4 linked regions of the Lonchura striata genome follow. The protein of the gene in region 2 interacts with the protein of the main gene of each other region in a pairwise test. Links are inferred from orthologs where the notes say so. Each region holds a gene or a part of one and is shown on either strand. Other genes may lie near its edges. The genes, in order: TCEA2, KXD1, C4H4orf46 and GABARAPL1.

Region 1 (7,534 bases), on a different chromosome or scaffold from region 2:
CTGCCACGGAGGGGCACTGCCATCCAGAGAGCTTCCCACTGCCCAGATCTGCAGATCGCATGGGTGAGCAGGGACAGCATAGGAAATGCTACATGGGAAAGCCCTGTGTGGGAGCCCAGGAGCCCCTGCCTTCCCACAGCAGACTTATCAAGGCACCAGTTCAGAGTGGTGCTTTCCATGGGCCAAAAGGGAAGTGCATACACATCAGACTTCTCAGGGTCAAGGATGCTGGGCAAGCAGTGAGAGGAGAGGCTGCAGGGGGCAAGGGAGGGAACCGGGGCGTGGGGAAGGAGACACAAATAGCAAAATGAATAGCTTGAACTTCCTATGTTTTATGGAGGTGAATAAAAGGAGACAGAGAGGGGGAGAGAAAGGAGACCTGAATGCCTGCACAAGGTCTCACGCTCACACAGTCCAGCCTAGACCCCAGAAACTGCTGGTGGCTGATGTGGGGTGGCAGCCTGTACCCCCTTGGCTGGCATGTCTCTGGGCTGGCTGCTTGTCTGGCCCAGTGTCCCCCAGGGGTATCTCATGAAGCGTGACAGGCTGCTGCTTAGCATTTATTCCTCTCCCTGTCATTATTGTTTTGAACAGCAGCCAGTATAATTAAAATTGTTAGGAGAAAGAGGTTTAGGGAAAATCCAAAATGTCTCAGAAGAGCATCTGCAAAGCTGGAGGTCCAAACTCCACCCTGGCACTCACGATGAGCAGGGCCCATGGGAGCCATCATCTCCTCTGCATCCTCCCTTCCATGCTCCCCGTTTCTCAGGGTGGCAGAGGCTGGGCTAACACACAGGGTGGTCCTGGCCATGTTCCCCTTGCAGCTGCTGCCCACTGTAGCTAAATCCTGCAGCTTTTCCTGGTGTAGGACTTGTCCCAGGAGGTCCAGATGGCAGTGTCCCCAGGCACCTCACCTGCAGCTCGAGGACAGATGCAGTGGGGGGATGTAAGAAGTGGAGGACATGGAGCCCCTGTGGGCTGCTCTTCCAGAATGGCATGGATGGATCTAAAATATCTCCTGGGAACCATGATGCTTTCTGTTGTGTTAGGAGGGCCTGTGCCACAAGAGGAGGTGTGGAGAGGACCCTTGGCTCCTCAGAAGAGAAAACAGGATGGTCCATAAACAGAAATGGAAGTCACCATTCATGCCACATTCTCCAGGTTTCCTAAGTGTTTGAATGGAGGATTTGACTGCTCTAGGGTCAAATGTCCCCAGTGCCAGGGCTAGGAGATTAAGGACATCAGACAGCTCCAGCAAGGAGGGGAAGAAAAGGCAGATCCCTGCCTCCATTCCAGGGCTGGCACAAGTGCATGGTTAGAGGATTAATCAGGAGCCCTCCAGCCAAGGCAGGCTGAGGGTGAAAAGGAGAGGGAGGCACATCAAAACCTCTCCCCAAAATAAGTGGTGCTCTGGCAAAGCCTATGGCAGCTGCTCCCATCTTCTGCCTCAGTGTCTCCCAGCTACTGATTGTCTGTTGCTGTCTGGATAGGATCACTCATTACCAGCTCAGAGCCCAGTGTGTCACCCAGGACAGCCAATCCTCCAAACAGTGACCTGCTGAGGTCCTGGAGATCTGAGCACCCCTGAGGTTAGGGTGTGTCTCAGGACAGAGCTTCCCTGTGGGTTTTATGGTGGGTGGATAGACAAGGCAGGCCCAGGAGTGCCTCTCATCTCTGCTTTTTCCAAAAGTGGACCAAGCCTCTGGTGGTTGGGAGCAGAGAAAGGGTGGGGTTTGATGGCTGATCTCCAAATGACTTGAACTTACTGGGGATAGTGGAAGCAACTTGATCCAGCCCATTCGCTGCGTTCAAATCTGCTGAGAGTCGCATGGGAAATACAGTAGCCCAGTGGAAAAAGCAGGTGAGATTTTGTGGGGTTTTATTTTGCAGGAAACTTCTCCTGGCTCTCCCAGATCTGCCTGCCAAGGGCAGCTGCCAGCGAGGCACCACCAACGGAGACTTTCAGGGAGTCTCTTGGTGTGCAGGGGTCAGCAAAAGCCCCCTCCCAGACTCTCCCTGATGGACTCGCCCCTGCTCTGTTTTTAGCACATTCAAGTAGCTGCTTTCACAAGAGGTAAAAGAAAGTTCATGGATCCGTTGACAGATCACCCCAAGCGGGAATTTCTCTGGGAATTCCTGCAATAGCAGGTTAGCTCCCGCGGAGGTGGAGTTTCCTCTGGATCTACCTCCACCCAGGCTTGGGGAGAGCTCTGGCCACCGGCTCCACGCTTGGGGGGCAGGGCTGAGCGACGCCACCGCTGCTTCCCAGCCAAGGTCAGCCAGAAACCCTCCCTGTCCTGCAAGCGCCTGGCCTGTTGTGTCCTGTTAACCCTTGGGAAGAGCAGAGCCACAAGCTGGCAGGCTTGGGCTGCAGAGCTGGCCCGTGCCCAGGGGCACACAGGGGCAGTGGACATGCCCAGCAGGCACACAGAGCTGCAGGCGTGAAGATTTCGTGCCATTCTGTCCCTTGGGGACTTGCTGCCAGGCAGTGGTGGGCCCTGGGTGAGGCTGGTTGCCACTGCAGGAGGCCAGCGCTGGCAGGGAGATGGCTCCTGCTTGAGGCAGGGAGTGACGGGGTGATGGTGCTTGGCATCAGTGACTGTGTGCTCTGGAATCTGAGACACGTCCCCGGCCATACTTGTGGTCAGGAACCATCTCTGCGTTGCAGCAGCACAAGCCACACTCCCAGTGGCAGCAGTGCTGCTTGAGCGTGTCTCTGACGCCAAGGACCGGCGTGACCCGACCCCACACACGGGACAGGCAGCTGCTCATTTCCAGAAGGTCCCCTTGTTGGGACTTGTTTCCTCCTCTCTAACAGAGGTGGGCCTCACCAAAATGGCACCTCCTGACTCCACAGCCAGACCCTGCCAAGGGCTGGAGGATTTCCAGGTGCTGCACAGGCTCCAGACTGTGGGGTGGAGGGAACTTGTGTTCGCAAACACACGGCCAAGCAAAGAAGTTTCAAGGTGTCATGCTAGGGAGAGGGTCCAGTGCTCACTTTTGGTCTGGGACCACCTTTGCTGCTTTAGGGATGAACTGCCATGTGTCTCACACATCCAGGGTGCAGCTCTTGCTAAAGGGTATCCCAGAGCTCCGTGGTATTTTTATAAATCTCCATGGTATTGCTATAAAGAACAGCAAGCAGGCAGCTTGCTAGTGCACAGATTTGGGGATCAGCCACCCATCAGAGCTTTAGCACTGATGTGTTCAATGCTTCTCTCTCTGGAGGTATTCAAAACTCATCTGGACAAGTTCCTGTGTCACCTGGTTTAGATGACTCTGACTTTGAAGGGTGGCTGGATGATCTCCAAGCCCTTGAGCCCTACTAATGCTGGGATTCTGTGATTCTGAGATTATGCCCTCAGTGACTCAGCCTCGCCCCAGGACAGAGTGCAGTTGGAGACGAGCACTGGGAATTCTGGTTCCCAAGACCTGACTGTGCATCCTGAGGCCACACGTAGCATATCCCTGTGCTTCCACATGATCTGCAGCTCCATCGGGGCAGGACACGGCCGCTCTCCACCAGCACAGTCAGGGCCCTCTCTGAAACATCGGCGCTTGGCGAGGGCTGTGCATGGGAGTTCTCCCTCTGCCAGGAACCAGCTGGAGGGAGCGACAGCGCTCGGCAGCATCTCCCGGGGGATGCGCTGCCCTCGCACAGTGTGCGAGTGCCATCTACAGGGGCTCTAGCCCGGCCCCCCCAAAAAACCCATCCTCTCGCCACTGCTGACTGCTGTCCAGTCCCCAAGGCCGTATGAGGGGCACAGCCTCAGTTTATCCAGGGAGCATTTATCCAGCAGTTTATCCAGCACTGCTCCGAGGGCTCAGCACAGCCACGGACAACAGTCGCAGCCACAGAATGGTTTGGGGTGGAAGGAGCCTGTAAAGCTCATCTTGTTCCAACCCCCTGCCGTGGGCAGGGACACCTTCCACTATCACAGGCTGCTCCAAGCGCCATCCATGAAACTTCCAGGGATCCAGGGGCAGCTTCTCAGGGCACCCTGTGCCAGTGCTGACACCACCCTCACAGGGAAGAATTGCTTTCCAATACCCCATCTGACCCTGCCCTCAGTCAGTGTGAAGCCGTTCCCCCTCGCTCTGTCACTGCAGGCCCTTGTCCAAAGTCTCTCCATCTCTCTTGGAGCCCCTTTAGGCACTGGAAGGGGCTTTAAAGCTCTGCCCGGAGCATTCTCTTCTCCAGGCTGAACCCCGCAGCTCCCAGCCTGTCTGCACTGCAGAGTGCTCATTATCTCCGTGGCCTCCTCCGCCCCGCTGCAGCATTTTGGGACGCGGCAGTTCCTGCCTGCCGTGGCACAGCCCCCGCCCGGGACCGGGGGTCCCTCACCGCGGCTCCGCTCCGAGCCCCTCCGCGGGGCCCCCACAGCGCCCCCGGCGGCCGGGCGGCGCCGCGAGAGACGGCCGCGGGGCGCGCTGGGAGATGAAGTCCCGCCCGTGAGCCGCGCTCCGGCAGGCGGCGGGTGGAGCTGGAGTCCCGAGGACTACAACTCCCATCGTGCCCCGCGTGCGCCCGCCCTGACTGCGGCACCGGGGGCTGAGGTGGGCACCGGGCACCGAGCGCTGCTCCCCCCGCCCGGACCCCCGTCCGGCCCCGGCGCCGATCCCGGGGAGCGGCGCGATGGGCGGGGAGGACGAGATCGTGCGCATTGCCAGGCGTCTGGACAAGATGGTGGCCAAGAAGAACGCGGTGAGTGGCGGCGGCAGGGCCCCCGCAGCCCGGTTGGCGCGGGGGGCCGCCCCCTGCCCGCTCTTGTCTGGCGGACGCGCCCCCTCCTTTCCGCAGGATCCCCTCCTCGCTGCCGCGCTGGGGCACCCCCTCCTCGGTGCCGTTGTCAGGGGCGTCCCCCTCCCCAGACCCCATTTTGGGAGCCTCTCATTCAGCGCCGCCCCGGTCCTTACATCGTGCTGGAGCACACGCTCCCCCTTTAAAGTGGGGTTCCCTCCCCCAGGCCCCGTCGCTTTTTCCTTTCCCCATCCTTTGCGGAGGTGTGGCATCCACCCACTGCCAGATATTGAGCGGGCAGCCCTGTGTGCCCCCTTGGGTGCTGTGGGAGCCTCCAGTCCCCATGCTGAGCCCCCCACCCCAGGCCTGCGGCATCCCCAGCCCGCATCTCAGCACTGCGGGGCTCACCCTGTGCTGCCTGCCCTCCTCCTGGAGAGCATCCCCAGCCCTTCTCCCCTGCCCCTTGGGAGCCTTTGGGAGGGGAGTCCCCACCAGCACCGGCCTGGGGCCCCGGTCTGCCCCCGGGGATAGCCCCGGTGCTGATGGATTTGCTCCCTGCATCTGCATCCCACACCAGCACTGCTGCTCGCTGCCGTGGCCCCTGGAGTGTGGAGGGCTGGCCAAGCTGCTGTCTGCACTCCGGGAGTCTCGCAGGGTGTGCTGTGACCCCTGTGACAGCCTGGGAGGACAGGAGCCGGTATTTTCCGGCTTAGTGGGATATATCAGTAGAAACACGGTGTCATGCAAGTGCTAAGGCAGAAAGCTGACAAGGGTTTGTGAAGGAGGTAGGCTGTACATCTGTGTCTGGGGTGGGGGTGAGGGATTTTGGGGTTGGGAAGGGCTGTGGGGAGTGGGAGATGATGGGTGAGGAAGAGGAGGCATTAGAGGAATGTGGTATTCTGTGTTAGGATGCTGGGTACATCACAGTTATCATTTATGCTGGTGTAATCACAGGAACTTTTGGTTGTTGGACTGACCCTGCCAGCCGTGGGTAGAGCAAGCACTGTCACTTGTGTCGCTGTTGGAACAGGCCAGAGAAGTGTGTTTGGGCTAAAGAAGAGCCTGTGATGTCTGTTCTTGCTCGTGGCAGGTTTTCAGCATCAGTGTTGAAATAGGAAAGGAGCAACTTTGTAGAATTTGCTTCCAGCTACATTGGGAAAGAGGCAGCTTCTTACAGGAGGGGTATGCGACATTTCCTCTTGGCTGGCGTTTGAGATAGTGCTGAACTACAGCATGTTCTGTTTTGGCTAATCTTAGAGCTCTTCCTGCAGGACAGTTTCCCAGAGTTTGTTGCTCTAGTTTTTCCGTGGATCCTCATTTGCTGCCGTTGTGCTGAGTGGCTCCACTTGGAGTCACACCGGGTCACTTCGGGTGTTCAGGGCTGGAGGAATGGGAAGGTGTGAAACTGCCTGCGGTGGAAGTCAGTCCTTCTGGGTTTGGTAAATGTGTGTGGTTTATGCTGGTGTGAGTTGATTGTGTGCACGCTGAAAGCTTTGACTCTGCTTTGATTTGGGCATCTGTTCTGTAGGGTGAATTACAGCTGGATTGCTTCCTGGGATGAGTTGGAAGCAGCCCTTCTGTGTAGGGAGGACGGGATGTGAGGACAGGGCTGGCAGTGCAGACACTTCACTTCCCTACAATGGTGGCTGTGCAGGCCTTGTGCTGCAACTGGGCTTGGAGTGGTCGGCGTTGTAAATGAGCTGCTAAAAATGAACACTGGAAGCCTTGTGTGAGGGATGGGGGTTGGGCAGAAAGAGCCAGCTGAATGGAGACAGGCCCATGCCAGGCTGGGATGTGCTAGAGGGAGACAAGTGATTTCCAGTTCTCTGAGTGACTGCCAGTTTTAGGTGTCTACAGATTCCCCATCAGATTTTTCCTGGTTCGAGGATGTAGAGATGATGTAAGGAGACTTCACAGAGCAAGTGTCAAGTGACCAACCTGTCAGCATCACAGCTTGCTGCCTTTGCTCCTGGTCTCAGCTTTTCTCCTGAGCAGAATCGGGTATTAATATGAAAACTAGGAAATAGCTACATGGAATCACTGACAGTTGTAATTCAGAATGTGTTTTTCAGGTATTAAAAATGTTTAGCGTGCCAGGTAAGAATAATAAACAGGTGCTGCACTTGCACCATACACAAACAAGGACCTGTAGCACTTCAGTGGTCTTCTGTTTTGCCCATTCCAATGATTCAGGTGCCTTCAAGTTGCAGGATCTATTGTCTGGAACAGCACCCAGCAGTGCACTTGCTGATGTTTCAGGGAACATTTGGTGGTTTTCCCTTTGAATTCAACTTTCTTTGTCTATTCCCAATAAAATTCCTTTAATAAAAGCTGAGGCACTCATTCTTTCTCTTTTCCTCTCCAGGAAGGTGCAATGGATTTACTGAAAGAACTGAAAAGTATGCCTATGACTTTGGATTTACTGCAGGTGAGTTGCACAGTTATGGTAACAAGCTTAAGTTTACATCCAGATGAGTTCAAAATGTTCTCTAAATAAACTTAATAGATTTCATCAGACTTCTCGCCTCATGCAAAGAGTAAAAATAAACATTAAATCCAACAAAATAGTGCAGAAGTTAGGTTTTGGACTGGCAGTTCAAGAGCTCTGGGTCACTGTGTGTAATTGCTCAAATCTTGTTTGTAGGCTGCAAAAAGAGGAAAGACTGGGTTAAAGTAGCAAACACAGAGGGCAGTCGTGGGAGAAGTTCTTTGTAATGTTGATATTTAGAACTTTGGGGAGGAGTGAGCAGAATTACAATTTGGAGTCTGTGATGCGGTTTGGAGTTTTTCACT
Region 2 (6,996 bases):
CCCTGCCTGGCAGCCGGGAGCAGAGCCCAGGGCTGATGCCAGACATCAGGAAAGGGATTTTATCCTTTCATCGAGACAGGAAAGTGTCTGCCTCGAGGACAGACATGCACCAGCTCTCCCACTTTCTGTCTGGAAGCAGGCTGGGAAAGCGGGCTTAAAACTCAGCCTGGTGTGAAGTGGGATTGCAGCAGGACCTGCAGCGTGTCCACATCTGCCCTGCTGGGGCAGGACAAGGCTCCCAGTCCTGCGTGGGGCCCACAGGCTCCCCAAAAGCAGCAGGAAGCACCTCGGAGCTGAGCAGGGCAGGGTGGCAGAAGGACGTGGTGGTGGTGGCCCTGGTGGCACAGCCACGCTGTGCCCTCTGCTGGGGGACACATCCCCAGCACGCCGGCTCTGCCAGCCCGTGCCACGCCGGGAAAAGCTGCCTCCAACACGAAAACCTGGGTGTCAGGAGGACAGAACGCTCCTGCTCAGAGCTCCCCGGGGCTGTCACATCAGCCTCACACAACCACCAGCACCCCCAGAACACTTCCAAGGGCTCAGGAGAAGGGATGTCTGTGAGCGCCTCGCAGCAGGGCAGGTGGAGCCCAGCGTTGCTGGAGTGTTTTCAGCACCGGTAGCTGCGGCCCCTGAGTCACCCACGCCTGCCTGGAGCCCGGGCAGCAGCCGGGGAGGGCAGTAATTTGCTGTCCTTGTGGTTTCGCTGGACACGTCACTGCCGGGCATTCGGATTTTCCAGCCCTCTCCAATTAGAAGCTCCATCGGAACTGGGGAGCAGCCGCCCTGCCCAGGGACGTGCCAGGGGAATGGTTCCCAGTGCTGCTCCCTCTCCACCCTGACCTTGATGGCAAAGGAAGGGTTTGGGGTCCTGCTCGCCCTTCCAAGGGTGCTCAGACCGCCCCTGAAGGTGCTGTGGGGCCACCAGGCACCTGCTTGTGCCACATCTCAGCCGTGACCTTCAGGGACTGGATTGTGACATGTATCCTGATGGTCTGGTGGACCTCCCAAGAAAGAAATGGACACAAGAGATCCAGGCGAGGATTAAAGCCCATCTGGAGAGCCAAGACCCCCAGGATGACCCTGTGCAGGCAATACCTCCCTGCCTCCTCCCAGTCTCGCTCCTGCTGGGGTCATTTCCTGGCACTGGTGTTTGATTTCTCCCGAGGCTCCAGTCCTGCAGCTGATCATTAACTGACAGGAAATTCCTGACCCAGAGCTCGCCCTGCCCGGGTGCTGGACTGAGCTCTGGCTGCTCCCAGCAGCCAGTGATTCACTCTTGGGGCTGCTCAGCGAGTTTGTGGGGACTCAGCTCTGCTCCACTTCCCCCAGCCACAGCACAAAGTGCCCGAGCCACCTGGGGCAGCCTGGACCCTCCCTGGGGCATGGCTGGAGCACGGATGGGCTGGCAGGGATTCCTGTCACCAGCAGGACCAAAGGTCAACGGGGAACCTCTCACCGTGGAGATAAGGCTAGAGACCAGCCCAGCCACACTCCACGTGATGCTTCCATCACTCCCCAGGCTCTGGGGGCTATTCCCAGCCTCCCTCCACGGAGCTGGGGACAGCTCCAGGGAGTCTCAGCCTCCCAGGGGCAACGCTGATTTTGTAGGGACGCAGACAATGGAGAAGCAGCATGCAGGAGATGCCCAGCTCAGGGGGATCACGGGCAGCACACACCTCCAGCCTACCTTGTTTGAAGGCTCCAGCTTCAAGGCTGCCTTCAGGATGGGAATGGCCTCTCTGTACTCCCCCTGCTGAGCCAGCACCTGCAGGGTGACACGCGGGTGGAGGAGCAGGGCTGAGCCGCCCCTCAGCCCCCGCCACGCCGCGCACAAGGGTCCCCTCCTCACCTTCCCCTTCCGGAACAGAGCCTTGATGTTGCCCGGCTGGTGCTCCAGCACCAGGTTACAGGACTTGAGAGCTGCCTTGAAATGGTCCAACTTCAGCTGCGAGGCCGCCAGGTTGTTGAGACACTTCACCTTCACGTCCAGCAGCTCGGCCTCCTCGTCCGGGCTGAAATCCACTGCACACACCCCGAGGCCGGGTTAGAGCAGAGCCAGGAGCCCAGCGACCCTCTCCTGGTGGGGACAAGCTACCTTTGGAGCTGGAGCCCGCGATCCTGAGGGCGATGTCGTAGGAGTTGATGGCCAGCACATAGTCTGCCTGCTGGTAGAAGAAGTTGCCACGCTCCCGCTTGCGGTTGGCCAGCTGGATCTTCTCCTTGCCGCTGAGCAGCTCCAGGTCCGGCGCGTCCCGAGCCGCCAGCAGCTCCACCTCCAGCCTCAGCGACGCGTTGGGGGGGATGTCAGGGCTCCTGCACAAAGCCACGGGGCCATTGTCACCTCTCTCAGGTGCCGGGCTGGGTGGATTCGGCACCGTGGCTCAGCAATCCGAGCCAGGGAAGGTTCCTGGGGCAGGGAATGATGGGGATCGTTCGGCTCCAGGGAGGACACGCTGCTCGTGAGGAAGCAGAGGTTGGACAGCTGGGCTGTCACCAGGGGAGCAGGGGACAGCTTCTCCAGCCCTGGTTTGGGAGCGCCCTGCCAGCTCTCACCTGCCCTGAGCTCCGTAGCAGTACTTGGCTTCTGACACAATCAAAGCCGTCTCGCCCATCTCCAGGAGCTGCACGCACAGGTCCAGAGCCTGCAGGGGACAACAGAAGGGACTGTGAAGGTTCTCCAGTTCCAACCTCCCGTCACGGTTGGACCTTTACATCTTCCACAAGACCAGGTGGCTCCAAACCCCCTCTAACTCAGCCAACATCGCAGGGAAGGAGCATGAGAAAGGGCAGAAGGGCCGCTTATGTCCACCAAAGGGATGTCACCGACCCCAACCCTCCCTGTGGCCCCCGAGGTGAGGTCCTGCTCCCAGGTGAGGTGCTCACCTGCAGGACGTCGCAGTCCCCCAGCGTGAAGGTGAGGGCAGGGTCCTCTTCCACCACGGTGCCATCCTCCAGCGTGGCCTTCAGGCGGATTGTCACGTCCTGGCCCTTTTGGGGACGGCTGTCCGCGCCCTGGCCCGGCACCAGCGTCTTCTTCTTGAGCAAACCATTCCCTGCGCACAGAGAGAGCGAAGCACATCGCGGGGAGGGCAAAGCCCGGCGGCCCCCACCCTCCTGCGCCTCCCGCCCGGCCCTGGCGGCGGCGGCAGCCCCGGGGGAGCCCCGGCACCGAGCAGCGTCCGCTCTCACCCAGAACATCGAGCCACTCCTCGGGGTCCCCGGCCGCGCCCCCCGCGCCCCGCTCCGGGGGCTGCGCGTCCTCCCGCGGCGGGGCCGCCGGCCGCCCCACGGCCTCCAGCGGCGGCAGCTCGCTCAGGTCATCCTCCTCCTCCTCCTCCTCCTCCTCTTCCAGCACCTCGAAATCCTCCGCCGTGTCCAGCTGAGCCGCGTCCGCCGCCGGCTCGGTGCCGGTGCCCGCCCGGCCCGGGGAGCCGCTCCTCGCTTCTTCCCCGCTGGACGCCATGGCGGCGGAGCGACCTGGAGCGGGGGAGAGAGAGCACAGGGATGGAGCCTGCTCTTACCGGCAGAGCCGCTCCGCCGCTCCGGACAGCACCGGGACCCTCCGGGGCCGGGGGATGCGCAACGGGACAGCGGAGACTCCGGAGCGCGGGGAAGGATGGGGCCTGGCGGGGGGCTGTCCCGGTGGGATGGGGTCTGTCCCGGTGGTGGGGGGGTCTGTCCCGGTGGGACCGGGGGTCGCGGTCCCGGTGCCGTGGGGGGGGGCGGCCCCGCGCCCCCCGCCCGCCCCACGTGACCGCCGCGCGCCCCCCGCCGCTCCCACCTGGCCCGCGGACGCGCGGGCGCAGGCCCCGCCCCCCCGCTCCTATTGGCCCGGCTCCGCCCACCGCGCCACGCCATTGGGCGGGGAGCACGCCCGTCAGCCACGCGCCCGCGGCGCCCCCCGACGCCTTAAAGGGGCCGCCACCAGCGCGGCCGCCCCGGCGCGGCGGGGCCGAGGGCGCGGCACCGGCACCGGTACCGGAGAGGCTCCGTGATGCCCGCGGGGGTCGCGTCCCTCCCGCCCGGCCGCTCTCCGGCACTTCCGGCTCGGCGCGGTGACGGCGCGGGGTCGCGCCCCACGTGACTGCACACCCGGAAGCGGCGCTGCCGCCCCCGGTACCGGGACCGCTCCCGTCATGTGAAGCGGCGGGACGGGCTCCCGCAGGTGCGCGGGCACTGCCGGGAGGAGGCCCCGGGGACACCAGTGGGAGCTCAGGCACCCGTGTTCCCGAGGGAGCCCGGGGCTGGCGGCGCTACCGGCACCGGCGGGCGGCCAGCGGATCCCGTTACCGGCGAGCGGGGCCGCCCCGGGAGGCGGCACGGCGGCGGGGTGCCCGCTGCTGGGTGCACGGCAGGGCGGAGGGGGTCCCGCTGTCACGGAGGGGAAGGGGAGGGGGGGGGTCTCCGTTACCGGTGCGGGGAGCGCGGGGGGCTCCGGTGCCCCCGGTTGAGCCGGTCCCGCGGTCCCGCAGGCCACGATGGAGCCCACGGCCTCGCAGGTGTTCTGCGGGAGGGTGCTGGGCATGGTGAACGCCGAGGACGTCAACGCCATCATCCTAGCCCAGAAAAACATGTGAGTCCCGGGGGGAGCGGGCGGTGGGAGTGCCGGTACCGGCACCGGGAGCTTTGCCGAGCTCCCGGTGCCTCCCCCGCGCAGGTTGGATCGGTTTGAGAAGACCAACGAGATGCTGCTCAACTTCAACAACCTTTCCAGCGTGCGCATGCAGCAGATGAGCGAGCGCTTCCTGCACCACACCCGGACCCTGGTGGAGATGAAGAAGGACCTGGACAGCATCTTCCGGAGGATCCGGTGCGAAACCGGGGATACCGGCCCGGGAGGTGGCCTGGGGGGGCTGGCGGGGCGTTACAGCGGGGCACAGGTCAGAGTCTGGGGGGCTGTGAGAAGAAAAATCTGCTGCGGAAGGGAAAATACACGATGGAGTGACACGTGGAGGTTGGAGCTTTGGGTTTCCATGATCCTGCTCGGGATGGGATTGGGGTGGGATGGGCTTTAAGGTCCTTCCAAGCACTCTGGGAGTCCCTGGTTCCATGAACGAGGTGACACCATGGTGTGAAGATGTCACCAGGAGGTCCCTGAGGGATCCAGGAGAGCTGGAGAGGGACTGGGGATGAGGGATGGAGGAACAGGACACGGGGATGGGGGGATATGGGGAAGGGATCGTTCCCTGTGGGAACTGGAGGTCGGGCTGGAGGAGGGAAGCTCCAGGGACACCTTGAAGCCACTTCCAGAGCCTGAAGGGGCTCCAGGAGAGCTGGAGAGGGATTTGGGACAAGGACTGGAATCCCAGCACAGGGAATGGCTTCAAAGTGGGAAGGGGAATCTGGGTGGGATATTGGGAAGGAATATCCCACCTCCAGGCTGGGATGGAATTCCCAGAGAATCTGTGACCATTCCTGGAAGTGCCCAAGGGGGTCTGGAGCACCCTGGGACACTGGAAGGTGTCCCTCCCTCTGGGACCTTTAAGATTGACGGTGGGATGGAATTCCCAGAGAAGCTGTGACCATCCCTGGCAGTGCCCAAGGGGGTTTGGAGCACCCTGGGACACTGGAAGGTGTCCCTGCCATGGGTGGGATGGGCTGGGATGGGCTGGGATGGGATGGGATGGGCTCTGCTTGGGATGGTCACAGAACGTGGGATTCAGAAACAGCCCGTGTGCTGGGAAGGGTGGGATGGGCTCTTCTGGGGGTTTGGGGTGGGAATCCCTCAGCCTCGGGGTTCGTGTGCACTGCCCACAGCGCTGGGAGCTGTGGGGCAGCTCGGCTCCGGCTCCCTCCGCTCCCCACGGACTCGGATTGTTCTCTCCTCCCCAGGGCGCTCAAAGGGAAGTTGGCAAAGCAGTACCCAGAGGCTTTCAGCAGTGAGTGATTCCTGACGTGCAGATTCATGGGTTGGGCTGGGAGGGACCTCAAAGCCCGTCTGGTGCCACCCCTGCCGTGGCAGGGACACCTTCCCCTGCCCCAGGCTGCTCCAAGCCCCATCCAACCTGGCCTTGGGCACTTCAGGGATCCAGGGGCAGCCACAGCTGTGCCAGGGCCTGCCCACCCTCCCAGGGAGGAATTCCATCCCAAAATCCCATCCATCCCTGCCTCTGGCAGTGGGAAGCCATTCCCTTTGTCCTGGAACTCCACTCTCTGTTTTATTCCTGTGGGAGCAGTTTCTGTTCCCAAGAACATCTCTCAGGAGTCACAAGTCCATGTGCTGGCATGTAGCTGCTTCCCTAAAAATCAAAAAAACCCTCCTTAATTCCATTAAATCCAGCTGCAAGAAATCACAAACAACCCCTAATTTACGTGCTGGTGATTCTCCGGGTATTTTTTAATCCCTGCTCCCAGCACGATGGGAGAACTGCTCTCCCCACCACCAACCTTTACCTCCCTCTCCCCTCTCAGACATCCACGAGTCCCCCATCCTGGAGGACGACGACGACTTCGACCCCGTCCCCAAGAGCACCACGACCACCATCGCTACCTCGGAGCAGAGCACGGAGTCCTGTGACACCAGCCCCGACGTCATCTCCCCTGCCACCAGCCAGGATTTTGAGGATTTATCCCAAGGCCACTACGACGGCCCGGCCGTGAACGGACAGAGTCTGACAGACGAGGACACGGCCAGCGGCCTGGGCTAGGAGCCACGTCCCACCCCGGAGAACTTTCTATCCTCTATTTATAGCTGTGTGTCGCTCTTTTGGGTTTGCTTTTTTGCTTTTGGTTATTTTTTTTTTTTTTTTTTTTTGGTTTTCCTCGGGAAGAGGGAAGCGAAACTGGGAGAAGCTGAGGGAGGAAGGCGCTGCCCTTCTGCCTGGAAACTGCGGCTGGGGTGGAAAGCCAGCGCTGGCTTCAGGGGAATCAGTAAATCCTGGTTGGAAATGCCTCTTGTCCTCCCTCGTTCCTGCGCTCAGGAGAGCGGCTACGCTTTCATCTGCATAGATTTTTTGGTGCAGAAAAGCCGTTTTTGGGGCACAGGTGTTTAGGTTT
Region 3 (7,281 bases), on a different chromosome or scaffold from region 2:
TGTATTTTGAATCTATATATTAAAAGTTCTAAAGCAAAACTTCTAAGCAGTATGACTTAAATGGTCAAACATTAAGATTATGTATTTATTCATGCACTGTATGATCCACCTGCACTTTGCTGGATCTGAGCCAGGGAATTTAGACAGAGAAACAGAGTTTTCACAATACATATCACTTAAAAGGAATGTTGCACATGTACAAATGATCATGACTGCACTGAAGGGGGTTCCTAAGCCACTTTTCATAAACACACACTGATGTCATTAGTACCTCAGCTGCTGCATAGCCTGGATATATCTCAACACCCAAAGCTTCTGCTTGTTCACCTAGCCAACTCACAAGGTGGCCCAGACGTACTATGTAATTTCCATGATTAACCATCGGAAGTCCTAGGCAAAAAAAGACACACACAGATATAACACATCGGACACTAAGCAAAATAACCAAAGCTGCATACAGTAGATGTCACATCTACAGCTACTACCTTCAAAATTAATCTCATGTGTTATCAGAGCCATCACCTACACAGAGTGTATCACTGTAACCTATTATACTCTACATACACTTGCTGCACTACACGGAATCAAACTTCTTTTGATTCATGGAGAAGTTCATGGATTCATGAAGTCTCCAAAAAGACACAGAGGAAGTTGACTCTCTTCTCCCTCAGTAAACTTTACCTGGAAGAATTGGCACTGGAATTCTAGATGTCTCTGTTAAAATTCCAAACTTGTCTTCAGTTACAGGAGTATTAAGTGGAGCCTACAACAAATAAAATAGAAGAAGCAGAGAGTTATATTTTCTTCGCCAATACAACACAAACAACAAAATCAAACAATCAAACTGGCAGTAGAGTACAGGTTTAGTATAGCACTTCTATGGGAAGGTATCACAAAAGAGCAAATAAAGTACTTTATAATGCAGTCATCAGGAAAGAATCAACACAACTACTGAAGTAAAAAAAAAAATACAGCTTTGCAAATAACATCTATTGTACACAGGCCTGTGCTACATCAATATTCTAGACCTTTTTAAATATGGCAGTTCAAGTTGCAGATTTATCACCATAAGGCAAACCAAAGAGCTGTTGGCTGACTTCTTGCATCTCTCAGGTGAAAGCAGGCAGCAGTCTGCAAGTCAGATGGCTGTTCTGGGACCTTCCTCCTACAATCATCTTAGGCCTTTGTTACAGGCTGTTCTGAGACTTCCCTCCTAAAATCATCTTAGGCCTTTGTTACACCACAGTATCTGCACAGAAGCCAGTCTACTCTGTGCCATTTCCAGGAAGAGCTATTGCACAGATCGAGCATATCTGTCACTGGTAAGGACCAGACATCCTGCTTGTACACAAGAGCTGGATTTTGCACAAAGGCAGCAAGTGCAGGGCACCCCAGGCTGCACCATTCAGATTGTGTATATGCAGTAGGACTGCTACAGAAAAGAGCAAAGGCCACAGCATGTCTGTGTAGACAGAAAACATTTAGCATTGTTGAACTACAGGAAACATACTAAAAAGAAGGTACCCATTTTTGTTTTGTTCCATCAATGTATTTTAAAACGGTATTAATTACTAATGCTACCAGGTACTAATTCGTGCCAGAATCAGTCAAATATGAAGTTCATTACAATCTAGTAATGAACTTTGGTGTTGACATGCTCATACATACCCCTCGCTCTTTCCAGTCTGGAAAGAGTTCTTCTAAGGACCTTGGCTCAATACAAGCACCAGACAATGTATGTGCACCAATCTGAGAAGCCTTTTCCACCAGACAAACACGCAGTTCTTTGCTGTGCTCAGCAGCCAGCTGTTTGAGTCGAATGGCTGCAGAAAGGCCAGCAGGGCCTGCTCCAACAACGACAACATCAGCTTCTTCTGCAAATCTTTCCATGTTTACCCCTTCAATAGAAAAAATTGATAATAACATAAGCCAATCTCTAATTTCTTCCAGCCTCTCTCTCACTGAACTTAAACCCTCATGGTAAGAGCAACTGAAAAAAACAGCAGATACATACTGACTAGTACTAGATCTTATGATAATCACTAAACCAAAAGCTGCTTGTATATTTTCTTTATGGAAACAAGCATAAAGTTTCTTCTGATAATATTTTATAGCACTAAAGACACTCATTGTGAGATTGCAAGCAAAATTGTCATTTGAAATATTAGTACTGTATTTAAGCATAGAGAATTTCCATGAAGAGAAAAAACCAGCAACATATTTTAGTGTCTTTAAGACTCAGCAATGATTAATAATAATAATAATAATAACAAAGCATTTAAAGAATGCAATGTTTTTACCTTCCCATCGTTTGTCTTTGTCCCGAGGATGAATTGTGTAATGTGTAGTTATGCGAGGCACAGAGGCGGTAGAGGCACATCGTGAGACACGCACCGATAGAAGGCAATCTTTCTTTATCAATTTTAAAGCATGAATGCACTGACGTGCTGCAAAAACCAGAAACAACTTTGTCAAATCAATAGTTTTCCAAATTTTTCAAAATTTCAGAGACACAAGTAGTGCAACAAATATAACAGCTTCCCCCCCTCCCAAAGGGCTACCAGGTGATGTAAAGATGAGGAACCATAAACACAGATTTTTAAATTCTCAGGTAAGGAGGATGATGTGTAATTTTTTTATCAGGGAAAAAAAAATAAGCTTCCTCTTTAAGCATTCTTTACTCAGTACACAGGCCAGCCATGCACAGCTGACATAGGATAATATGCATGTATACACAGGTGCCAAACATATTTTAAGTTCTGATTTAATTTTGAACTTCGAAAGGTTTATTTCAGGCTGCATTAAAAATGACCAAGCAACAGTAGAAACAGGACAGGCAAGTTTAGCTCTGACATCTCAACACATGATGCTTCTAAAGTACACACCATAGTCTGCAGTAAAAGCACAGACTTGAACCCAAGTATGCTTAGCCAAAGTTAGGAACAGTAGATACAGGTAGCCATTACCTTTGCTGCAAATACAATAATTGTTGTGAGAACAAATTAGAATTTCTGTGTAAGGAAATGGATGAAAAACAAAGTTTCAAATTATCAAACCAGGAATCTTTTCAGAGGGCTATTACATGTCATCATTTCCCTCTTCTAGAAACAAATAATATGCATGTGATTTGTAATAAAAAATGCTAGCATGAAAACTAGTTATAGTTAAAAGGTCTGTGAATTAATGTACGTTGACTAATAATTTTCCTTCCTTAAAAAATTCTCTATCTTCAGGGATAAAGAAGACTAGTACCACATTTAAAGTGGAGTATTTCTGCAAAACTACATAAGTGAAATCACCAGTGTGCTATGACTGAGATATTTAGTTGAGAATGGCAATTGGCAAGGTCAGCACAAGCATCTTGTGTCCTGGTGACAGAACAGAGGTCTCTAAATGCGAGGTAGCAATTATTATCCATGTTGGCTCCTTGACAAGAATTTTGTACCTTAACCAATATAACATAAAAACTATTATCATATCACCTCATAATTCTTAGTTATCCTTTACCTGCAACCAAGCAGGATCTGAGAACAAGCATTCTATAAGGTTGGTAACAGCTACACTCATATATATATTATGAAACTTTAACTTAACTTTCAGGATTTTTTTTATTTGACCATAACTGATGGTACTAAGAATCACACAGCATATATATATATAAAAAATCAATTAATTTGCACATATGCAAAAGAAGTGAAACTCTGCTCCGAACACCTCTGATAATAACAGAGGTGGGTGCAAACGCTGGACGGGCAGATTCTTCCCCAGCAAGCACACAGTGCCTGGGCCACGACGCTACTGAGAGCGCAGGGACTCGACAAGCGATGGGAAACGCCTACATGGCCAAGGAGAAACTTTGCGGCAGCTCTTCAGTAACAGCTGTCGGGATGCTGTCGCCACAACTACTTCCCAAGCAAGGACACTCGTGCCAGTGCTTTAGTTCACCCTCTAAAGCGGGTGACACCTCGCGCCGCTCAAAAATCCCGCCCATCTCTTTCGGCACGCCGCCGCAGGTGAGCGGCCCGTGTCGGCAGCCCAGAGCCGGGCCGCGGGCAGCGCTCCGCACGGCGCTGTCCCGCCGCCTCCGGGCGCACAGAGGCCCCGGGCAGGGGGAGCCGCGGGGCAGCCGCGGGCCCGCAGCCGGCCCCGGTCCGGCCCCGCGCCCGCCCGGACACCGGCGCGACCCGGCCGCGACCTTTGCTCTGCCTCGGCGCCGCGCCAGCCGCCGGCCCCACCCGCCGCACGAGCGGCCGTCCCAGCCCGGCCCTGCCCAGCCCGGGACGAGGCCCCGGGCCCTCCAGCCGGCCCCGGCGCGTTACCTCGGCCGGCGGACGGGCAGCGGCGGAGCAGCATCGCAGCGGCCCCGGGCACCTCTCGCTTCTGCGTCCGCCCCGCGCACACCCCGCCGGCCCCGGCCCTGCCGCGCCTGCGCGCCGGCCACGGCTCCGCCCCGTCCCGGCGGCAGGACTACAGCTCCCAGCGCCGCCCGCGGCCGCCGCCGCCCATCCGCGCTGCGGGCGGCGCTCGGCGGGAGCGGCCCGGGCGTGCCGTGGGCGGCGCTCGGCGGGAGCGCCGAGCGGGACATGGCCGAGGCGGGGCCGCTGCCGCCCGCGGCGGTGCCCGAGGGCTCGCCCGGCGCCCAGCCCCGCAGGGTGCGCGGCGGGAGCGAGGGGTCGCGGCCGCCGGAGCTGCCCGGCGGCGACACGCGGGAGCTGCTGGAGGAGGTGGAGCTGCAGATCGGCGATGTGAGTGCGGCGCGCTGCCCTCGGGCGGGCTCGGGCCCCTCGGGGGGGCTGCCGGGCGCCGGCGACCCCCAACCTCTCTGCCGTCCCTCCAGGCCGCCTTCTCGCTGGCGAAGATCCTGGAGGCGACGTCGGCCGTGTCGGCCCAGGTGGAGGAGCTGGCCACGAGGTGCTCGGAGAACGCCCGGTTCCTCAGGACGTGGCGGGACCTGCTGAGGGAGGGCTACGAGTCCCTGAAGCCCAGCGGCTGACGCGGCCCTGCCCGCCGAGCCGCCCGCCCGGCCCGCGCTGCGGCGGGGCTCCTCGCGGCCGCTGCCTTGGGGACCTCACGTGGAGTTTTGTGTTCCCCCCGACCTCTTTCACAAATACTTGGGGGCTCTCGTATGGACGTTTTATGTTAGTCTACCGAAGAAAAAAAAAACTTCGTTTAGGGAATCAGTTTTGACTTTTAGATTCTTCGTTGAAGCTCAAGCGATCTTATTCTCTCATTTTTATCTCTTTCGTGTTAGTGTGGTAGATACAAAGTATGTGTGTTACGTTCAGAACTCATTACTTGTAGGGAAGTGATAAAGGATTGTCAGCCTTCCTTTTTAAGAGCTGTCACCAGCAGAAACCCGGCCAACCCCAGAAAAACTTCAATCAACTTCAGTTTTTTGTTACACACACTTTTTCTTTATGTTGAGTATGGGATAATGCGGCAAGTTGTGGCTTATTTATGAGCTGTAGAAAAATTCTATATCCCAAACTTTACTATTTTTAGCAGTATTACAATGTATGTCAATAAAGCTGCAGATTCTTTTTTGCAAGATGTTTTATTACTGCAAACAATTTTACCCTACCTTTTGTTGTAATAAAGTGCCTTATCATGGACAATATATATCTGCAGGGTAGAAGTTTAGCAGCATTGTTTACTGATAGGATGAATTATTTTGATCTCTAAGTAAAAGCTTCTATTAGTTAGAATAGAATCTGTGACATGTATTCTCTCCTGTCGCTGGGGAAGCACTTCAGAGCTTTTTCAGTATTTGGTCCTGTTTTTTATCTTTGCCTTAAGTAGTGACTAGTTTGATAGTCTAGAGCTTAGAATTAATAGAACCTTTTGGTCTGAAAGATGGCTGAGCTGTAATAAATAGCTGTCCTGACACTCCTGTACCTTTACCAGGCACTGAAAAAAAGTAATGCTGAGATGCAATGGCAGGCTGCAGGAGAATGTGACTCTGCTATGACTTGTTTTTACTTACAGGACTTTGAGGAAGACCCACTGCAGCTTGCTTATCAAAACAATAAAGAAGTTGCAAAAATTATGAAGTATCTACTATTATTGTGTTACTGATAGAAACAAAGGTGACAGTGAATATAACCATAATCACGTGGAGTGAAAACCAGGTAATGGCAAGGTCGGGGATTGTTGTACATCTCACCAAAGGCAGTTGCAGTCCTTGAGAGGGATGGCCCCTGAGTAAGGAAGTTCTATTGAATTGAATTCTAATTGTCCTAGCTAAAGATAATCCATGTGGCAGGATTTTGCTTAGGTGTTTTTAACCCCTACAACCCGAAATGTTGCTAGACATCTTGGAAAAGAAGTAATTTTGTTCAGCAGATAATACTTTATTTCAATAGAACATACAGTAGTGGAAACAAGATGCTTAACAATCTTCAGTTTCAAATCCAAAGATAATCCAAAGTTCTGTAAACAGTTGAAGTGTGAGCCACACTTTTTCAAAATTCTACTTCTTATACTGCTAAGAAGTTAAGTGCAAACATTGTAAGTATCTTTTAACTTAATTTTAAATAGTTTCAAATCAACACAGAAAAAAGAGCTTTTTTTTACCTTTTTGGGCTTCTAGGCCATCAGACTGAATACGGTACTGAAAGAAGAAGGGAAGCTGTAATAATTCATAATAGAAAACATTCTCTTCAGTAAAAATGTGTGAAGGAACTGCCTCTAGGGGATTGTTTCAGATAGGATATTTTGTATTTTACCCTTGTAATTCTGGGAAGTAAAATAATGCTTCAAAAAGTGCTGAATGTCTGCGGTCTTTCAATTACTCTAACTATAATGCATCCAGTCATGCTCAAAGTGAGCCGTGACACCTATTAAGACTGATAATTTTCTATTTGACCATCTCCCTTGTTCATGGAGATACATCTTAAGACTGGAATTTGTTGAAGTCTGCAAGCTGTGGTGAGCAACTTTTGGTAGCCTGTTAAGAAAAGTGAGGAAAAGAGAAGCAGCAAAGTGCTGGTATACTCAGTCCAGTCTTTCCAGAGTAAGACGGGGGAAACTGCCACCAGTTAAAGCTGGGGGATACTCACTTAGGAAAAAAACCAACCAAACAAAACAAACCTCTAATTTTTGTTTATTTCTTCATCATAGTTCTGGTTCTGCCTGAATCAGAATCTTAAAGATCATCTAGTCCCAGCCTCTCCCTGCCATGGGCAGGGACACCTCCCAGTAGACCAGGCTGATCAAGGCTTGTCCAACCTGTATCAGAACTATCATTACAATTTCACTATTGCCTTTACATGAGTGAATTAG
Region 4 (7,892 bases), on a different chromosome or scaffold from region 2:
TTTGGTTTTAGGGTACATGTGAATAACTCCACAGAACATGCCAGTTATCAAAACCTTTAACTATTCATACATCTGAGCAAAGAAATTAGTGTTCATTGGCTTACAAGCTACATAGTTCTCTTCATTAAATAGTATTCTATCACCTATTGTTATTTATTTATTGCTTCTAATGCCAATTAATCCACATATTTAGTCTTTTTATTATTTATTTCTTTTTCCCAGGTAGAGAGAATCTCAGTAATTTTCTTTGTTAGTTTCTCCTTCATCTCCAATTTCTCTAAGTGTCTTTGGTTACAAATTCTGCATTCTTTGTGGCCAGGTCTCAACGAAAAATTTCTCTCTCTGGTCGAAGAGCACTGAAGCACATCAGTCCCTAAATTGGTAATTTGTTTTTCTAACACATGGGCATCACCCATAGCTTGCTTGTCATCTGTTACTCAATTCATGGATTAAATATTCTTAAAGCAATTTCCCTCCCGACACTGCTGCACAGGCTCCTTTTAAAAGAAGTATTAACTTGTTTGGTAACAGTGCCACCCTTAGGTTCCCCTAAAACACGCAGTCTTTGAGAAAAACTGGTTTTCAGAAACATCCCAGTGGCCCCACTGTTGCTCCTTTGTTTTCACAGGAACAATGATACCCCTCCCCAACGAGCCACTCCCAATCACTGGCTGGAACAAATGGATCTCAAACTCTGCTTTGCAAGTCTGGGCTGTTACTGCTGCTTTTGATCATGCAGCAATTGTGATTGTGTTCCTTAATCTCCTCATTACATCATTTGTATGCCTTTAAGCAACTTTAGCTGAAGCTGGGCCATACAAGAAGTATGGTAAGAAAGAGCAGCCTTTTTTTGAAAAAAAAAAAAAAAAAAAGAAAAAAAACAACTAAGAAATTGTAGAAAATAGAGCAGCGAGACAGCAGCCCAGCATGGACAACACAGAGTGCTTTCCTAGAGGAAAAGAAAACATTCAGACAATTAAACATTGTTTACTGGGAGTGAGTAACCCTGTGCCCTCATCCAAGACCAATGTGCCCATACTGGCTCTGAAGGTGCTACAGATCCAGTGCCAAGAGAAACTGGTGACCAGTCACGAGGGACACAGCAGAGACACCAGGCAAGGACTGTGCCACGGGTGGCAGCGAGCAGATCAGAAGCACGAGTGCCTTCAGGTGTGCCATCTGTGGTTTAATCACTGTTCAGACCACAAAGCACAAATTTCCTGACAAAAGACACTTTGATATGCGGAGTCCACACTTAAGATTAAAAAAAAAAAAAAAAAAAGTCTGTAGAGGCAGAAATGACCCAATAATGAATAATGGTAATAATGAAAGAAACATGCAAGGGAGTCCAGAGTTATAAGCAGGACTGTATAGTACGGCACAGGCTGCAAAGCCTGCCCCCAGGTTCTGTGCAAATATTTGTCTCCTGCTCCTATGCATGCAGCATTGGCAATGCTTGGGAAATCCCTCGTGTAATGTACCACATGACCTGCAGATACTGCAGTACAGAACGTGCTCACAGTGTTCTGACACTCTAGGTTAAGAAAAAATATATTGTTTTGACAGTCCTTGAAGGAGCACTTTGTGCTGGCAGTCCAGGGTAGGAAAATTAGCCAACACCATTTCCAGTTCCTCCCTCTGGCAAACGAATCCAGAACGTGGGGTTTGTCACATGCCCATGGGCTGACATTTTAACAACCCTAAGTCAGATGTTTAGATGTTTGTCACTGCTTCTGCATGTATCATCTTCCTGCCTGTTTTGCCAGTGACGTTGTTGTTATTATTGAAGCTGAAGGAGAGAGCTGGGAATTCGGTGCCTGACAAAGTGGGGAAGCAGGAGGAGTCTTGGGGCTGCACATCCAGAGCTGCACCATCAGGGCAGGGAGAAACTTCAGTTAGGGCATTTGCTGAGGAGAAGTCATTGAGCAATCTGCTCACAGGGCCATGTCTTTGCATCAGAACAGGAAAAAAAACCTGGCACTTTTCTCTGATTTGTCATGAGAAATTAAAACCAGGTGTTACCTTAGCTGCCTTGGGAGAAGTCCTGGGGATAAAAACAGCAATTCACATGATAAGAGGAGTTTGAGATCGGTCTGTTTAAATTTGCCAGAATATGTTGGTGGCTTAGGTGAAACAGACTAGAAAACTTCCTCTCTTTTGTGCTTGAGGAACATCACTGCAAACCTTCAGTACACCTCAGCAACTGCTGTGCTGCAGGCAGTCAGGAGGCAAGGAGGCCAAACACAGGCTTGACATAAAAGTTTAATGCCATGAAACCAGAATTTTCCTTGGGTCTAAACCCTGGGGCTCCTTCAATCTGAGATATTTGCTATGGAACTGCAAAAAATAATTCCTTCCTTCTGACTCATCCCTCTGAGCTCCTCTGACCTGGCAACCATGCGAGAACATTTACGTGTCCTAGGACAGACAGAAACGTGTTGACGGTGCTTCCTGTACAAACCTGGTGCACATGAACTAGAGAAAGCTGGGACACTGTGGCTGGTGACATTCCCACTGTGGGCTGCTTGATCCTTAGGAGATTTGGGCATGCACCTGCTGGAACTGGCCATTAGCAAGAAGTCACTCCACCCCATACTAAATAAAAGTATTTGTATTAAAAAAAAAGTAACTGTAATAAAAGCTTAGAAAGTAAAGGACCTGCCAGAGTTTTTGCAGACACACTTCAGCCATCCAAAAGTAGGTGTCATGATTCAGGTGAGAAGAATCACACCCCAGCACACCTTTTCCTACCCCTGTTCATCCTCAGTAAAGACACGGGGCTGAATTGGGAAATCTGTGTCTTTTTACCTCTGCCTTTGGTGTGGCCATGGAGAATCACCTCATGCATCTGGCTGTTCCACTCATAGTCTGCTATGGCTAAAACACCTGCACAGATAAAAGATCAGCCTTGGCAAAATTGTGTTTCCTCTAGGTAAAGCATGCAAAGAAAAAATAATTTAATACAATCCAACTCATTGAATTGTAGCAATTTATTTTTGTCCTGATTTGAGCATGCTGAGCCATTCATTAATACCTGCTCTTCTGCTGATCAGTGAATAATTGTGAGTTGATCTACTCCTAGGGGAAAAAAACCCAGATATTTTATGTGCCAGCTGAGTAACTGGGCCGAAGTTGGCTGGGTGTTTTGGCTTGTTGGCAGACCTTTAGCTGCCTGCTGTTTGCAACACGCATCTGGGGTGACCCATCATATGGCAACGCTTTCTGCCAGAGAGGTGCTACAAAAAAGGCAACAACCCAAACCCCAGCAGCCACGGGGCCAGTCCAAGTGAAACAGAGAATTTTGGAATTCACTTAAGTTAACAAAAGGAATTAAGCATTTCTATTTTAGCTTGTAAAATTATGTGTTGAATTTTAACTTTTTACTTAAGAAACCAAAGTACAAAAGGGCATAAGAAATGCAAATTACTGAACCTTCTTGCATAAGCAATAAAAAAAAGGGATCAAAAAGAAAAAGAAACCAGATAAAGAGGCTCCTCTATCTCCAGACTTATCTCTCAGACTGATACTTGTACTCAGATAAGCACCAAAAGACTGAAAATGCATGCGCAGAGAAGAAGAGTACTAAAGTTCAACCATGAGGATGACTATGATCTTCAGCCTCAAGAGACCACCAGGGACCCCCGTGCGACCACCACAGCAAACTACGTGTGCCCAGAAGGGTGTAGACTTATTTAGCATTAGGGACAAGGGCAGGCGGGGCCAGGAGTTAAATATGCATAGAAAAGTTGTGTAACGTATTGCATATGGAACACCTTTGGGAATAAAAGTTTGGGTCAGATTAAAACTCAGTGTGCAAGTCTTGGAGAAATATCTCACTTGTGCCAGGCGCTGACCGTACATACCCCCTTCATAACTACCCCAAGTTGTGGAGCCTATTTATTTATTCCTTCACAAGGATGAGCCATTATTTTTGTGTATGCAGCACAATTTTTTACATTTCGCACCACACCCATCGGGGCAAGTGGGGCCACCCAGGCCTCTCCTGGGGAGCCCCGAGCCTTGTGCCCCGCTGAGGCTGGTGCTGTTTTGACAGCCCTGAGTCACACTGCAGAGGGCATGTATGTATTAAAAAATAAAAATTGTGTTTAAATGCTTGTGTTATGTGTAGTAGATCTAATTTGCGCCATTTCTGGTATGATAAATGTGATATTGAATATTTGTTGGAGTATACATGTTTGTATTAGGAGTCCCCCCCAACCTCACAGGTGACACCTGGTGTATATTAGAGCCCGATTTGATGGGCCATGTCTGGAGAGATACGGGATGCCCAGAGATGGATATGATGGAAATCCTTGGGCAGATACATGTGAATGCAGGGTTCCCGTAAACTTCATCAAGGGATCCAACAACTCCAGACACTGAATTGTTCTTCCTCATCACCAAAAAAGAAAATTTTTTTAACCTATGGACTCTGAATAGAAGAAAAGACTGATTGCAAAAATCTTGACCTCAGGCGGAATTTTCCCTATAAAAACCACTCATGCCAGGATGGAGGCGTGTGGGCACAGAGGAAAACCTCTGCTGAGGCTGACTCCTTGTTGCACACCCAGGGCCAGCCCCGGGCTCGGCTCTGTTCTTTCCGTGTGGCTGGATAGATAGAATTGGATTGCAAAATAAATATTTTATTTTTTCATTTTAATCTGGCTGGACAAATTTTCGTGTATAACAGTTGTTTGTTTATGTGCTGCCGGGCAACACATCAGTGCACGAACACTGACGGAAGGTGCCCCCCCTTCCTTGCCGCCCACCTCTCCCTGCCCCGGCCAGCGCGGTGCCTCCCTGTGACGTCAGGGGGGCACCTCCGCGTGACGTCACCCCTCCCCGTGACGTAAGGGCGGGGCGGGGCCCGGGCGTGACGTCAGAGCGGCGCTGGCGGCGGGGCGGGAGCGGCCGCGGCTTTGTGCGCAGCGCCGGCCGGGCGGAGGCAGCCGCAGCAGCCGCCAGCGGAGGGACAGCCCGGCGCCATGAAGTTCCAGTACAAGGAAGACCACCCGTTCGAGTACAGGAAAAAAGAAGGGGAGAAGATCCGGAAGAAATACCCCGACAGAGTCCCCGTGAGTGCGCGCTGCCGGGCGGCCGCCTTTGCGCTCCGTGCTGGCCGCCGGCTGCTGCTCGCCTTGTTTTGGAAGGAAATGAGTTTAGTACGGATGGCCGTGATCTCGCTGCTCTGATTCGCATCCCCGGCTGCTTTTCTCCCTAGAGCGAAGCTGGGGCTATTCGCGATGCGCGGAGGGCTGCGGTGCGGGTGGGGGTGGAATACACCTTTTCCCCGGGATGCGCGGTGACTCCGCGGTGGGAACGCTGCTGATCTTTTTCTGGCATGCGTGGGGGTGAGTGGGCAAGGAGCTCACCCGTGTTTCTGTGAAAATGGAGATCAGTGAGGCGGTTAACCGGGTACTCTTCATGCTAAACACGGTCTGCATCCGGGTCATCTCGTACGTCCCTGTTATTTTTATTTTACTTCACTATGGCTTGTCTTTTCTATATAGCCTTGCTCTTTTCCTTTGCATGAGCAGAAAAAAATGATACTTCTGGGTCCTTTTACCCTCCTGTTTAATCATCCTGTGGAGAAAATGTCACTTGGAATGCAAGGTCATCTAGCTAAATTTTGCTTCCTCATTCTTAGGCCCCTTTGGAGTGCCTACGGGAAACTTCTGGCTTCATAATTCCGAATAATTATTGGGATGAAAGAAAAAAAAAAAAAAAAGACAAATATAATTAAGTGTAGAGTGTTTTTTCTTTTTTAATAAACATTTTGCAAGTATTCTTTTTTTCCTTCCCCACTGGAGAGGTCTGCCCTAGATAGACTGCACAACTGTACTGCATTCAAAAAAACTGGGTCCTTCCTGAAAAACTAATGACAAAGGGGGAACAGTTACACCCCATGTTTTCCCTGCAGGCTAACAACATTTTTTTATCTTGGGAGTGACCCTCAAATGGACTTGGAAACAAGTTTTTGGAAGTCAGTATTTGGGTGCCTTTGTTCTCTCTTTTTTGGCATAGGTTGAGCATGCTTGAGGTGTGTGGGGTTGGGTATTTAGGATGAGGGCTGTGTAGGTTGGGTGAGAGACAAGGTGTAAATTGAGGATTAACGTGGCAGATTGCACAGCAGGCCATGACAAATGTGTCGGGAAGAGCCCTGTGGGGAGCCCAGGACAAGGCCCAGTCTGGCAGGAGGTAAAGAAGGTCAAGACAGGGGCTCATCAGCAGAACTTTGTAAAGAAAACCAGGACCAGAATAACAAGGTGTGCTGGAGTTAATGATAATTGGAAATTATGCACAGCAAGGCCCAGATGTGAATTATTAGGGATGGCCTCTTGAATGCAGCACTCTGTTCTTCACATCACTTCTGTGTCTGCCCTTCCTGACAGCAGGATCCTTGAAGATGTCATCCTTTTGGCTGCCTACGCTGCAGTGCCGTGATACATCTCAGCATTTTGATGAGATTTCACTGCCCTGCGTTATCACAGTCGCCACTCAACAGCCAGGCAAATGTAGCTATCTGTATTCTACCCTTACGGTTTTCCTTTTAGTTGTTTTTTGGTTTTTGGTTTTGTTTTTTTTTTTATGTATGGGAAGGGTTTAGTGGCTCGGAAGAGATAAGCTGCATTATACAGCAAAACTGACTACAGTTGCCAGTCAGATGAGCAGAGCATCTCCATTCCTTCCGTGCATCTTTGCAGGAGGGAGATGTCCCTTAAGCTCTCCTAAATCAGTGGTAATCTGATTTAAATCTCTCCTAAATCTTTCCTAGGGGCTTAGAACCCCCAACAGTCACCTCAAAGGCATGACTTCTTTTCCTTTATTATCTAATGACCAATCTACAATCCCCCTCCTTCCCCCCCACCTCCAGTTAGGGAAGTCACAGCAAGCAGTTTGGCTTGTCAGTAGCTTTTTAAATTGGAGGCAAGAACTAAAGGTTTTTCCCCACTGCAGTTTATTGTGTTAGCTACTGCTTTGTTTGGCTGTGCTGGTAAAAAATGTGAGAAGTGTTGTGTGTTGCTGTTCAGTGAGGTTGTGGTAGTGTCCTTCTCTCACAGCATTTGCCAGCTGCATCTTGTACAGAAATCCATGTCCTACCTCAGACTCCCTGAAGGAGCTTGAATGCCTTGTGCTAACTTAGGTACTTGAAAATCTTGAAGTAGCTGAGGCAACCATGTTTCTATTTTAAAATCAAACCTGGAAACTTCAGCGGGTTTGGCTGTGCTGGCCACATCCAAATGGAGCACAGGGAAAAGATGTCCTAGTTGGTACCTCTCTGGTGTGAGATATTTTGCAGACACTCACTTGGCTTTAGAAAGATTCAGGTTAGCACAGCACCATGTCCAGGCTAAAATACGCCAAGCTCATGATAACATTTTGTTCTGGTGTGGTGTTTCACTAGTGGGTCAACATCATTTTGCTTCCAAAGAAGTCTTAGTCCACAGCAGTCCAACTTTTTCCCTTACACAACAGCTGTATTTGGGTTGCCAAAGAGCTATGGGAGCATGGAGCCCTTAGAAATCAGTCCCACAGTGTTTCCTGTGGAGTATTTACAGGGTCTAAGGAAATTAAAAAGTTTAGGAAGTTCAGAAAAATCCAGCTTTTGCTTTCATTTAGGTGGTCAGAATGGCTTCTGCAGAACAGCAAGCCATATAGATTGAAACATGATATATCTTTTACCAGTTCAAAAATACACATGAGGGAAAAAAAAGCCTGCAGGTTTTTTCTGCACAAACACAGTAGTTCCAAAGGTTTCAATGGAAAAGGAGATCAGGTCACTTTGGAATAATTCCTGCTTCGGAGGTAAATATTTTGCCTAGCTCTGCTAACAAAAAATATCTTTTAGCAAAAGACCTCTTGATTTGTTTGATCCTAAAGCTGCAGAGCTT

What was found.
Region 1: the proteins of KXD1 (region 2) and TCEA2 interact in binary tests that used the Homo sapiens proteins (3 or more experiments, as listed by UniProt). The two-hybrid records come from large-scale screens. The link is inferred for Lonchura striata from reciprocal best matches to the Homo sapiens genes KXD1 and TCEA2.
Region 3: the proteins of KXD1 (region 2) and C4H4orf46 interact in binary tests that used the Homo sapiens proteins (3 or more experiments, as listed by UniProt). The two-hybrid records come from large-scale screens. The link is inferred for Lonchura striata from reciprocal best matches to the Homo sapiens genes KXD1 and C4orf46.
Region 4: the proteins of KXD1 (region 2) and GABARAPL1 interact in binary tests that used the Homo sapiens proteins (3 or more experiments, as listed by UniProt). The two-hybrid records come from large-scale screens. The link is inferred for Lonchura striata from reciprocal best matches to the Homo sapiens genes KXD1 and GABARAPL1.

The regions. Positions count from the first base shown.
Region 1 is NC_134619.1:6,781,228-6,788,761, reverse strand, and holds the start of TCEA2 (transcription elongation factor A protein 2), read left to right. Parts: upstream 1-4,517; 5' UTR 4,518-4,636; coding exon 4,637-4,705; intron 4,706-5,303; exon of another isoform or gene 5,304-5,526; intron 5,527-7,106; coding exon 7,107-7,169; intron 7,170-7,534. UniProt on the Homo sapiens protein: Necessary for efficient RNA polymerase II transcription elongation past template-encoded arresting sites.
Region 2 is NC_134630.1:7,140,362-7,147,357, forward strand, and holds KXD1 (kxDL motif-containing protein 1), read left to right. Parts: upstream 1-3,994; 5' UTR 3,995-4,165; intron 4,166-4,472; 5' UTR 4,473-4,478; coding exon 4,479-4,573; intron 4,574-4,657; coding exon 4,658-4,810; intron 4,811-5,832; coding exon 5,833-5,879; intron 5,880-6,411; coding exon 6,412-6,647; 3' UTR 6,648-6,892; downstream 6,893-6,996. Other genes in the region: peptidyl-prolyl cis-trans isomerase FKBP8, read right to left, coding at 1,688-1,765, 1,850-2,022, 2,096-2,313, 2,554-2,642, 2,884-3,053, 3,190-3,463.
Region 3 is NC_134606.1:40,736,497-40,743,777, forward strand, and holds C4H4orf46 (renal cancer differentiation gene 1 protein), read left to right. Parts: upstream 1-4,577; 5' UTR 4,578-4,583; coding exon 4,584-4,745; intron 4,746-4,837; coding exon 4,838-4,993; 3' UTR 4,994-6,766; downstream 6,767-7,281. Other genes in the region: ETFDH (electron transfer flavoprotein-ubiquinone oxidoreductase, mitochondrial), read right to left, coding at 272-390, 682-763, 1,669-1,898, 2,301-2,447, 4,320-4,353.
Region 4 is NC_134607.1:2,234,597-2,242,488, forward strand, and holds the start of GABARAPL1 (gamma-aminobutyric acid receptor-associated protein-like 1), read left to right. Parts: upstream 1-4,883; 5' UTR 4,884-4,985; coding exon 4,986-5,075; intron 5,076-7,892. UniProt on the Homo sapiens protein: Ubiquitin-like modifier that increases cell-surface expression of kappa-type opioid receptor through facilitating anterograde intracellular trafficking of the receptor. Involved in formation of autophagosomal vacuoles.